2 linked regions of the Caenorhabditis elegans genome follow. The protein of the gene in region 1 interacts with the protein of each later gene in a biochemical or structural test. Each region holds a gene or a part of one and is shown on either strand. Other genes may lie near its edges.

Region 1 (7,942 bases):
AAGAAAAATACCGTATTCTTAAAACTTTGAAACTTTTAGAAATATATATGAAACACTAGTGTTGTGTATTGAGCTATTTAATATTTTAGCTAGTTTGTAAAACACTTTGTAAAATATATTGAAATCACTTAATTCTGCATTTTTTGTATAAAATGTAACTTTTATTATACGTTTCGAGATCTCAGTCAGCATCTATAGTCTTCGATAATATTGCTCATTCTTGGGAACTAGCAAAGTATGTAGTTTCATCATTTGACTACAATACTCAAAACATGCCTAGTTCTGCCACGTCACAATGGCAGATGGTCGTAAGTGAAAAGAGAATGCAACATTACGTAGTTGCAGTCAACGGGAAGATATGACGTCATTTGTCTGGAAATGATGGATTGTGTGGAAAGAGGTCAGGAAAAAGGGGGAGATATCTGGCGGTTTATGGGTGCATATATAACAGAAGAGTTACGACTGGAAGATCAAAGACTGTAAAGGGCCTTTTAAGTTGTATAATTGCTACTGGAGAAAATTGTTTCCACTACTCTTATGTTAAAATGATCATAACAAATCTTTTTTTTTGAAACTTTTTTCACTGTTAAAAGGTGGCAAATACTCAGTACCACTATTTTTGAAATTGTCCAAAAACACTGCCTTCTGCATGTGTTATTTTTTTAAATCAAAAAATAAATCATTCTAGCAAATTTGGAACTTTGTCAAAACGAAATATGGAAAATTTTGAAACATTTATAACAAATGTGAAGTCTTAAATTATGTTATTCGGTTATATATGAGTAAATGTTCCAATTTTTAAAAATTAATATCTGGCTTCAAACTAACTTTTTCAAAAATTCCCGTAACCATTTTGTAGCAAATTTTGTGTTCTGTCAAAATTTGAAAATAAAATTGAAAAAGGTTTCATATCCGCTGAGTTCAAGCAGAAAAAGTGGATTTTCAGTCATACCTTTTAGTGCACAATTTGAGACCAATTGTGTTTTGAACATTCGAACTGGAGAAAAAAACAAACTTTCCACTTTTCTATAATATCTTATCAATTTTCAAAGTTTTTTTCTTAAAGAACATTAACTTTAATAAATTGGAGTCACAAAAATGGATGTACTCCTGGGTCATAGTGATGACATAAAAAGTGTGTGTTTTATTTTTCACTGCTACGAAATTAAAGGCACATTTATGCAAAATTGTCTTGATGAGCGTTCAGTCTTTTTTTAGAGTGCCTGTGAAAAATTTGTGGAGATCATACGTAGATCACAATTAATTTGAGGAAAATAAACAGAAATTCAACATTGGAGGGAAATTTAATTGTGATCTACGCGCGATCTACTCAATGTTTTCACAGAAACTCTCAAAATAAAGGCTAAACGCGCGGCAAGACCATTTTGCGTAAATGTGCGGACATTCAGTTCAGTTATTAATAATATATATTTTTATTTCTCTCGAACACTTCCAACGGTAATATTTGGCGCCAAAATAGTTCTGTTTGTTTTTTTGTTCTTTCAAAATACATAAACAAACGAACACTTTTCTGACCAAAATAACAAATGGCAATTTCATTCAATTGTTGCGGAAGCAGCCATTGCCATTTTTCGCTTTTAGTTTTTTTCATAAATATATTCCTGTGTTTTGGCGTTCCAAAGTTTTAAAAATGTGAACAACCTTTTTTCAAACTTAATAAGTTAGTTTAATATGTATTAAATTGTTTAGAGGTTCATCTTCTTTGTTACCTTCATTTTTTTTTCAAATTTTAATTTCCAAAAGCACCAGACCATTGAACACTCATTTGATTAAATCGAACAATGTTTGTCCTTCTTTCATTTTTTGCCCTTTCTCCATCATTATCCCTCTCTTCTTTTTACAGTCACACCACCATCGAGCACGCCGTATACACAACATACATTGAACATCATCGTTCAAAAACAACAGTTGGGCGGAGTTAACGCTGAGAGAGGCATCTGGTGACCAGGCTTCGTCTCTTCTTTCCGTGTGCTCTTAAACCACCTGCGTCTCTTTGGGGCCATTCTCTCCTGGCGGCCACTGATACCCATCCCGTCCATCCCTGCCATCTTCTTATTCTTCTCATTCACACCGCAACCAAAGTTTCGGCACAGTCGGTGTAGAGAATCATGTCTGTTGATCCAAACCTTCTTACTCCTTACAAGGTAATATTTTTTATTTATGTTCTTGCCTAATATATGTATTGTTTTAGAATACCGGAGCTGCCAACGCATCTCTCCGTCAGATCTCTGAAGATGCTTTCTACGTTGTCAATGAGGTCGTCATGAAGCGTCTTGGACATGTTCCGATTCTCAAGGTAATTTTTGAAAGTTCCGAAAAGAAAGCAATTGAAAGTGTTTACACTTTTAAATTGTTATAATGGCAACGAGTATAACACTTGAACAAACAAAATGATAAAATTGGGTGGAAAGTACAGAAAATCATTAAAATTTATTTCGATACATGTACACAAATGTGTTGATTCTAGAAATTGTGATGAATTGGATTTTGATCAAAAACCATGTGAGATGGTATCGAAAAAGAAAATTGAAATAAGAAATCACTGAAAAGATTATGTTCTAAACTTTTAATATCGTTTCTTGATTTTCCAAAAAACTTTCAATAATTGTTTCGTTCTGAAAATTGCTTCTGATTTCATTCCACCAGGCAACAATACAAAAGGGACGAACAAAAACCAAATATTTGCTAATAAGATTTTATTCCATTGCTTTTCTTTTCTTCTTTCCAATATTTTCTTCTTCACAATAAACAAACTATTGTGTGTAGTGGTAGAGACCGAAGACGGTCTGCGTTTTAGAGGCCAAAAGAGCGATCTTGAAACCAATTACAAAGCAATAAGAAGGAGGAGGAGGAGGAGGTGATCTCTTATCACTTATCACTGATTGACTCGCTGATATCATATCACACCACGAGGACAGAGACGGGGTTTTCCAAACGGCGATTCTCGAACAGCGCAAAGTACGCACTTAGATCTTCTACGACTAGGAACCATAGAATATTCCAGAAAAGATTCAAGAAACGAGAGCGCACAAAAATGTGAGGGAGGGATTGGCACGCGCCTTGCTTTTTCAAATGGAAAGTGGCTTTTTCAAGCAGGAAAGGGTCCTCTTGTACAGCATCCGAGAGGGTTGTTTGTTGAGAGTAGCCAACGAAAAACTAAAAATTTGTCTCAAGGGAAAAATATTTATTTGGGAATAATTTTATATGCTGTCGTATCTACATAAGTTTACTATAGTTTTGGAAAAAATTCACTATCAAGCAATTTCAGCATATAATATTTTTTTTTAAATAATGGAAACAAGTAGTTCTTTCCGTTCTTTCAAAAATTTCAAAGATAGTAAATTTTGTCGAAATTTAAAGTTCAAAGTCTCAGGCTCTTGTGGCTTATGAGCTCCCTTCTTTTTTCGAAACTTCTTGATATCTACACGTGGTTGTTTGCAACCTTCTCCATCTTCTCCTCCCCGTGTCTGCGTGCAATTCGGCACAAGTGCCGGGGAGTCGGCTGGAGCAGTTGGTGTCCCTGTCCCTGACAACTCGGCCCGTAACTGCCTCTGGTCAATCGATCTAGGAGTGCCTGTGAGAGAACGAGATGAAAAAAAAACTAAAAATAACCAAGAGAAATACATAAACAAATTTTTTTCCCAGCATGAAAGATTCTCGTGCAGAGGAACCAGTTTCGGATAGCATTGAAATGGAAAGGTCAATGTTCAAATGATACGATAGACGGTTGTTGGTGTAGGGCAGAAACTGCAAGGACCGGTACAAAATTCGAACTTTGCTTCGAGCGACCTTGTTAGTTTATTGGGGTAAAGGAAATAAATAATTTAAGCTACAATAACACTACTAATAGAGACTTTATTTTGCTGCAAAATCATTACTTATATATAAAAAAATAATTCCGTTTGTTCCATAGTTTGTAGTCTATGTAGTCTTTGTAGTCTGTGACGTCACACCCAAAGTCACTGAGAATTGTGGGCGGGGTCTGTCATCCTTCGTGGTGAGACCCATCGTGGCGAGACCCATCGTGGCGAAACCCATCGTGGTGAGACCCATCGTGGTGAGACCCATCGTGGCGATACCCATCGTGGCCAGACCCATCGTGGTGAGACCCGTCGTGGCGAGACCCATCGTGGTGAGACCCATCGTGGTGAGACCCACCGTGGTGAGACCCGTCGTGGTGAGACCCATCGTGGTAAGACCCATCGTGGTGAAACCCATCGTGGCGAGACCCACCGTGATGAGACCCGTCGTGGCGAGACCCATCGTGGTGAGACCCACCGTGGTGAGACCCGTCGTGGTGAGACCCACCGTGGTGAGACCCGTCGTGGTGAGACCCACCGTGGTAAGACCCAAAATTTTGGCGGGAAATTTAAATTTTCTGTGAAAAATATTTTGGCGGGAAATTTAAATTTTCTGTGAAAAATATTTTGGCGGGAAATTTAAATTTTCTGAGAAAAATATTTTGGAGGGAAATTTAAATTTTCTGTGAAAAATATTTTGGCGGGAAATTTAAATTTTCTGAGAAAAATTTTTTGGCGGGAAATTTAAATATTCTGTGAAAAATATTTTTGCGGGAAATTGAAATTTTCTGAAAATTCTAAAATTCTGGAAATCTAGAATCTTCTGGAAATTTCGAAAAAATTCTCGAATGTTCCAGAACTTTCTAGAAAAATCGAGAAAATTCTGGAATGTTCCAGAACTTTCTAGTAAAATCGAAGAAAATTCTGGAATGTTCCAGAACTCCTAGAAAAATCGAGAAAATTCTGGAATGTTCCAGAACTTTCTAGAAAAATTGGGAAAGTTCTGGAATGTTCCAGAACTTTCTAGAAAAATCGAGAAAATTCTGGAATGTTCCAGAACTTTCTAGAACAATTGGGAAAGTTCTGGAATGTTCCAGAACTTTCTAGAAAAATCGAGAAAATTCTGGAATGTTCCAGAACTTTCTAGAAAAATTGGGAAAAGTCTGGAATGTTCCAGAACTTTCTAGAAAAATCGAGAAAATTCTGGAATGTTCCAGAACTTTCTAGAAAAATTGGGAAAATTCTGGAATGTTCCAGAACTTTCTAGAAAAATCGAGAAAATTCTGGAATGTTCCAGAACTTTCTAGAAAAATTGGGAAAAGTCTGGAATGTTCCAGAACTTTCTAGAAAAATCGAGAAAATTCTGGAATGTTCCAGAACTTTCTAGAAAAATCGAGAAAATTCTGGAATGTTCCGAAAAATTGAGCTTAGAGCTTTAGAAGAGGTAGTTATTTGGGAGTTGATGGGGGATCAAGTCAAGGTACTGTAGTGGTACTATAGGGGTACTGTAGGTATACGGTAGGGTTACTGTAGTTTTGGAAAATTTGACTTTTTGTCCTTTGAAGAGATATTGGGTTAGGAGTTGGTGGAGGATAATGTCAAGGTACTGTAGTGGTATTGTAAGGTTACTGTCTTGGCCAAAAAGTAACAGAAAGTTTTCATACTGTCTGTGAATTTTTGAAACATGCATGTCGTAGAAAAATACATACATGTAACAGTGCCAGTAAACCGCGTTTTAAGTGTTTCAAGTTTTTTTCATGATGAGAAATTTTTTGAGTGATTGAAGGTATGTGTGTCAAATACTTTTAATGGTGCCAGTCGTTGCCCGCGCCGTAGGCGCAGTCAGCGGCTGGTATATATATAATTTTTTTCAGGGAGACTTCCATCTTCTGCCAGCCAAGGTGCAACGTTTCATCGCCGAGAAGGCCGAGTTGATGCGTCCACGTGGAATCTTCATCTGCGACGGATCTCAACATGAAGCTGATGAACTTATCGACAAGCTCATCGAGCGTGGAATGCTCTCCAAACTCGAAGCATATGAGAATAACTACATCTGCAGAACCGATCCAAAGGATGTTGCTCGTGTCGAATCGAAGACCTGGATGGTCACCAAGAACAAGTATGACACTGTCACACACACCAAGGAAGGAGTTGAACCAATCATGGGACATTGGCTTGCTCCAGAGGATCTTGCCACCGAGCTTGATAGCCGTTTCCCAGGATGTATGGCTGGACGTATTATGTATGTCATTCCATTCTCTATGGGACCAGTTGGAGGACCACTTTCCAAGATCGGAATTCAATTGACTGATTCCAACTACGTCGTGCTTTCAATGAGAATCATGACTCGTGTCAACAATGATGTTTGGGATGCTCTTGGAAATCAAGATTTTGTTCGTTGTATCCACTCTGTTGGACTTCCACGTCCAGTCAAGCAACGTGTTATCAACCATTGGCCATGCAATCCAGAACGTGTTCTCATTGCTCATAGACCACCAGAGCGTGAAATCTGGTCTTTTGGATCCGGTTATGGAGGAAATTCCCTTCTTGGTAAGAAGTGCTTTGCTCTTCGTATCGCTTCCAACATTGCCAAGGATGAAGGATGGATGGCCGAGCACATGCTTATTATGGGAGTAACACGTCCATGTGGTCGCGAACACTTCATCGCTGCTGCTTTCCCATCTGCTTGCGGAAAGACCAACTTGGCTATGCTTGAGCCAACTCTTCCAGGATGGAAAGTCCGTTGTGTCGGAGATGATATTGCATGGATGAAGTTCGGAGAGGACGGAAGACTCTACGCTATCAACCCAGAAGCAGGTTTCTTTGGAGTTGCTCCAGGAACCTCAAACAAAACTAACCCAATGGCTGTTGCTACATTCCAAAAGAACTCGATCTTCACCAACGTCGCCGAGACTGCTAACGGAGAGTACTTCTGGGAGGGACTTGAGGATGAGATCGCCGACAAGAACGTCGATATCACCACATGGCTTGGAGAGAAGTGGCACATTGGAGAGCCAGGAGTTGCTGCTCATCCAAACTCGTAAGTTAACATTGAAAATTATAGTTTGTAAAAGTAATTTTTCAGGCGTTTCGCTGCTCCAGCCAATCAATGTCCAATCATTCATCCAGACTGGGAAAGCCCACAAGGAGTTCCAATTGAGGCTATCATTTTCGGAGGACGTCGTCCACAGGGAGTACCACTCATTTATGAGACTAACTCATGGGAACACGGAGTCTTCACTGGATCATGCCTCAAGTCAGAAGCTACCGCTGCGGCCGAATTCACTGGAAAGACTGTTATGCACGATCCAATGGCCATGCGTCCATTCATGGGATACAATTTTGGAAAGTATCTCCAACATTGGTTGGATCTAAAAACCGACTCCAGAAAGGTAATCGATTTTTTCATATTTTCAGTAATTTAATGTTAATATTTTTAGATGCCAAAGATCTACCACGTCAATTGGTTCCGTAAGGATTCAAATAACAAGTTCTTGTGGCCAGGATTCGGAGACAACATCCGTGTTATCGACTGGATCATCAGAAGACTCGATGGAGAACAAGAAATCGGAGTGGAAACCCCAATCGGAACAGTTCCAGCCAAGGGATCCATCAACTTGGAAGGACTCGGAGAGGTCAACTGGGATGAGCTCATGTCTGTGCCAGCCGACTACTGGAAACAAGATGCTCAAGAAATCCGCAAGTTCCTCGATGAACAAGTTGGAGAAGATCTTCCAGAACCAGTTCGTGCCGAGATGGATGCTCAAGAGAAGAGAGTCCAGACATTGTAATTATTATACCCGTTTTTCGCGCATTATTTCACGGTTATCTAACAGTTTTCTGTTTGTTTTATTTTTTATTTGAAACGCATCTATTGTTCCTATGTGAGTAGTGCCTTTTCTTCGCTTCACAACAATGTTTTATTTTTCTCAATGTGTATAGTTACATGATTTTGGTAAAGTAAAAATGAATTGTTTTATGGAAAAATCAGTATCCGAATTTCTCATTTTATAATTTTTATTTTGAAAAAACTAGAAGGTCACTAACAAGATAATAACTTAGGAAAAAACCTTTACAGAAGTGGAATTTCAAGCGAAACATTTAGAGATCAGAAGCCAGTC
Region 2 (4,852 bases), on another chromosome or scaffold:
CGATTTTTTTTTGAGAAAATTGCAATTTTTTCGATTTTTTAAAGAGAAAAATCGGAATTTTTCGATTTTTAATATAAATTTAAAAAAAAAACGGATTTTTTAATGTATTTTTAGAGAAAAATCTGATTTTTTAATGTATTTTTAGAGAAAAATCTGATTTTTTGATATTTTTACTGAAAAATCGGAATAATTTCAATTTTTAATATATTTTTAGAGAAAAATCGGAATTTTCTCGTTTTTTATAAGAAAAATTAGCATTTTTCAATGTTTTTAAATTTTTTTAAAGAAGAAATTGGAATTTTTTCGGTTTTTTAATATATTTTTTGGGAAAAATCGGTTTTTTTTTTTCAATTTTTAATATATTTTCTGCGATTTAATTAGAATATTATCTTCTCTACCTTATTCCGGAAATATTTTCTACATTCAAGGCATAAAAAATGCCGAGAAATTGAAGTCCAGCTCCGTTCCTCTTCGGTTTTTTGTCGCCGCATTCTTTTTTTCTGTTAAAAAAACAATTTTTCGCTGCAATTTCCGTGAAAAGCATTTAAAAATCGTTGAAACGAATGAAAAATTGGAAATTGAACAAAAAAATGGCCAGAAAATCGAATTTTTATGATGAAAAACCGAAAAAATGAGGAAAAAATGAGGAAAAATGAAGAGAAAATAGAAAAATCGATAAATAACAGAGTTCTTCAGTGAGTGGCGAGAGAGTGTGTGAGATGAAGAGACGCAGGGTGTTCGACAGGAGAATTTATTCATAAATCCGCCCAATTAATCGGGTTTCGACCGGAATTTTCGAGCTCCGTGTTGCATTTCGAGAAGCATTTGCATCCCCACCACTTGCGAGCACTCAGCGGAGACGGATGGGCGGTCTGGAAATTTTTTAAAATTTTTTAAAAAATTAAATTTGAGTTTAGTGGAAATATTTTTAAAATACGCTAAAAAATAGGTTTTTTTTTTCACAAAAATCAAAAATTTTGCGATTTTCCACGTCTGAAACCAATCAATTTTTCCCTTTGAAATTAATTTAAATTTTGGTGGAAAATGTCAAAAATTGCCAGAAAAACTTTAAAAAATTCAAGAATTTCCCACAAAATTGTAGTAAAATTGTCAATTTTCAGTTAAAAACCAAAAAAAAAAACAAGATTCTCCAGGTTTTGCTCCAAATTTGCTCCTTGTTTAAAATATCTATGTGAAAAATTGGAAAAAAAAGTCCCTTTTATTGTAGAAAATCGACGATTTTCAAACGCGCGCCAGACATTGAAGCGCGCTGTGTCTTGTGCCGATTTACGAGCCAGCTTTCAGCTTTTTATTCATTTTTATCGGTTTTTTTCGTTGAAAATTGTGTATTTTCGAGCCAATTGAACATTTTATGATCAGAAAACCGCGAAAATTTCCTATTTTTAGATGAAAAAGGAGGTAAATTCAGAGAAAATCGGAATTTTTTGAGTTTTTAAAGAGAAAATTGGAGTTTTTAAATAGAAATTTTCTCGAATTTTTTTTTCGATTAAAAAACAATTTCTGTTTTTCGATTTTTCTCTGAAAAAATAGAAAAAAAAAATTTTAATTTTCTCTTTTAAAAAATCGAAAAAATTCTAATTTTCTCCTTAAAAATTTCAAAAAAATTCCGATTTTCTCTTTTAAAAAATGGAAAAAATTCCGATTTTCTCTGGAAAACTATATGAAAAAATGGAAAAAATTCCGATTTTCTTTGAAAAAATCGAAAATATTCCGATTTTCTCTAAAAAATCAAAAAAAAAATCGAAAAAATTCCGATTTTCTTTGAAAAAAATTAAAAAAAACGAAAAAATTCCGATTTTCTCTGGAAAGAAATAGAAAAATTCCGGTTTTCTATTTAAAAAAAAAAAGAAGAAAAATTCCGATTTTCTTTGAAAAAATCGAAAAAATTCGGTTTTTTTTCTCTGAATTTAAATCATTTTCCATCTAAAAATAAGGAAATTTTGCGAGTTTTATAATAATAAAATGTTCAAAAAACCGAAAAAAAAAATGAAGAAACAGCAAAAAATTGGCTTTAAAAAAACAAATCTCGTAAATCGACACAACACGGTGCGTTCCAATGAGAATCGTCTCTGGCTCTCTGGCGCGCGTTTGAAAATCGTCGATTTTCTACAATAAAAGGGACGTTTTTTTCCAATTTTTCACATAGATATTCGGAATCAGGGGAAAATTTAGAGCAAACCCCTGAATTTTTTTTAGTTTTTAACTGAAAAGTGACAATTTTACTACCATTTTATGGGAAAATCTTGAATTTTTTTCTAGGTTTTCTGGCAATTTTTACCTAAATTTCCAGCAAAATCGCAAAATTTCCGATTTTACAGGTGAAAATCGGCAATTTTTGTCGTTTTCCAACACATTTTTAGGGAAAAAATCTTAAAATCAACTTTTCCATGCTTTTTCCAGAATTCTATCCAGAAAAATAATGACCTTTATAACTACATGTTTCTTTGTATCAATCAGTTCTTCCTTCTTATGAGCAAATCCTCCCCATAACAAAAAGACAATAGGCTTCTCCGATTGTCGCGAAATAATCCGAATAACAGTGTCCGTGAAAGTTTGCCAGCCGATCTTCGCGTGAGAATTCGCCTCGTGAGCCCGAACCGTCAACGTGGCATTCAACATGAACACTCCCTGACGTGTCCAGCCGAGCAGGTTCCCGTGATCGGGCCGCTTGAAGCCTTCAATATCGGATTCAAGCTCTTTATAGATATTTTTCAGCGATGGCGGCGGTTTTACACCCTTCTGAACACTGAAGGAGAGCCCGTGAGCTTGATTATCATCGTGATAGGGGTCTTGACCGATGATAACCACGCTGATCTCGTCGAATGGCAGAAGATTGAATGTTGTGAAAATTTGTGTGGGCGGTGGGAACACTTGCTTGCCCTTGTTCACTTCGGAATTCAAGAATTTCTCGATTTTCGAAATATAGCCTTTTTTGAATTCCTCCTCTAAAAGTTTCGACCAAGATTCACCGGTTAGCAGGGATTTTAGCAGAATTTCAGTTGGTTCTGGTGCTTGTAACTTCATTTTCTTGACTTCTTGATTTTCATTGCCCGCGGGAACTTTTTCCGGAATATTTTCAGTATTTGAAGCGGATTTTCTGAAATTTCGGTGGTTTTTTTTGAATTTTCAGAGCGGGAAATACCGTTTAGAGGCAGCGGATGCTTTGAGGAACATGTCCGGAATTCTTACAGTCTTCGACATTCTGAAATAAACGGAAATCTAGAAGAAAAAAAAAGAATTTTTATTCAAAAAACACGAGTGGAAATGAGATAAAATAAACCTGAGGGCATAGATAAGGATATTTGAAAAATTAAATCACAAAAATGGGAAATTATTCGAGTTATTTGCAGGCAAACCGGTGAATTCGTAACCTGAAAATGAAGAAAATCGATAAAAATCATTTAATTTCGCATTGACTACGGTAGGTAATTGTGTGCACTTTTGCGTGGCGGTGTATGCACAGAATTGATTTTTAAAAAAAATTAATTTTTTTTTAAATTTTAAAATTAATTTATTGAATTTTTCGACGATTTTCTTGAACTTTTCTCACACATTTTTGTGCAAAAACTCTTATTTTCAAACTTTCAGACTCAAAACGCACTGGAAAATCATTAGAAATGGCACCGAAGAAGAAAATGGTAATTTTTATGGCGAAAATTACTTGAAACAGACAAAAAAATCCGAATTATCGAAAAAAAGGACTCTCCCGCCGAAATGTCTCGTTTGAATGGGGTGGCGGCAGCTAGGCCGTGGTTGCACGCGGTCACGTCCAGATGGTCGATAATATTGGCGTTATTGGAGGAGTACGGGGGTTTTTAATGTATAATAATAAGAATAATAATTCAAAAAAAGTGCACTTTCGGACGCTGCAGCACGGAAAAGTGGCCAAAATTAGAGATTTTAGTTAAAATTAGCGCTTTTTTTTTCGAAATTTTGATTTTTTTTTTCACAATTTTCACAATTCCTTTAAAGGTGGGGTAGCGCTAGTGGGGAAATTGCTTTAAAACATGCCTATGGTACCACAATGACCGAATTTCATGATAAAAAATTCAAAAAAAAATTTATAAATTTTATATGATTTTTTGAAAATTGAAAAAATCACAGTTTTCCCCTAATTCCTATTTGAATTACCGCCAATTGAATTTGTTCGATGGGGCGCGCTTGCACGTTTTTAAATTTATTTATTTTATTTTTTGTTATTTTCCACCGATTTTTAATGTTTTCGGTGTATTTTTGCTCGAATTTTAGAGAAAAAATCAACATAAATGCAAATTTTCGATTAAAAAGCACGCTTACAGGCGTAAAAATGAAAAAGTAACGCTTTTAAACGATTTCGAACCTGAATTAATTAATTTCACTGATTTACGCCTGTAAGCGCACTTTTTAATCGAAAATTTGCATTTATTTTGACTTTTTCTCTAAAATTCGAGCAAAAATACACCGAAAACATTAAAAATCGGTGGAAAATAACAAAAAATAAAATAAATAAATTTAAAAACGTGCAAGCGCGCCCCATCGAACAAATTCAATTGGCGGTAATTCAAATAGGAATTAGGGGAAAACTGTGATTTTTCCAATTTTCAAAAAATCATATAAAATTTAGAAAAAATTTTTGAATTTTTTAATCATGATATTCGGTCATTGTGGTACCATAGGCGTATTTTAAAGCAATTTCCCCACAAAGCGTAGTCCACCTTTAAAATTTTTTGGCACATTTTTCTCAATTCCTTTTAAAAAATGTACCTTGATTCTGAAATCCAGGCTGCTGAGAAACCGTGTCAAACCCTCTGCCAACAAGATTATCCATGTATCCAGTGGTTCCACCGCCGTA

The links.
Region 2: the proteins of pck-2 (region 1) and ung-1 form a complex in vitro, tested with the Caenorhabditis elegans proteins (one large-scale study listed by BioGRID).

Annotation. Positions count from the first base shown.
Region 1 is NC_003279.8:7,864,272-7,872,213, forward strand, and holds pck-2 (Phosphoenolpyruvate carboxykinase [GTP]), read left to right. Parts: upstream 1-1,864; 5' UTR 1,865-2,129; coding exon 2,130-2,165; intron 2,166-2,212; coding exon 2,213-2,317; intron 2,318-3,305; coding exon of another isoform or gene 3,306-3,647; intron 3,648-4,824; exon of another isoform or gene 4,825-5,629; coding exon of another isoform or gene 5,630-5,695; coding exon 5,696-6,861; intron 6,862-6,906; coding exon 6,907-7,213; intron 7,214-7,261; coding exon 7,262-7,612; 3' UTR 7,613-7,829; downstream 7,830-7,942. Other genes in the region: R11A5.6 (uncharacterized protein), read right to left, coding at 3,306-3,647.
Region 2 is NC_003281.10:11,970,868-11,975,719, forward strand, and holds ung-1 (Uracil-DNA glycosylase), read right to left. Parts: upstream 3,224-4,852; 5' UTR 3,223-3,223; coding exon 3,164-3,222; intron 3,119-3,163; coding exon 2,446-3,118; intron 873-2,445; coding exon 756-872; 3' UTR 600-755; downstream 1-599. Other genes in the region: Y56A3A.28 (C2H2-type domain-containing protein), read right to left, coding at 399-491; Y56A3A.30 (SP-RING-type domain-containing protein), read right to left, coding at 3,337-3,392, 4,765-4,852; Y56A3A.31 (SOSS complex subunit A homolog), read left to right, coding at 3,639-3,659. UniProt on the Caenorhabditis elegans protein: Excises uracil residues from the DNA which can arise as a result of misincorporation of dUMP residues by DNA polymerase or due to deamination of cytosine.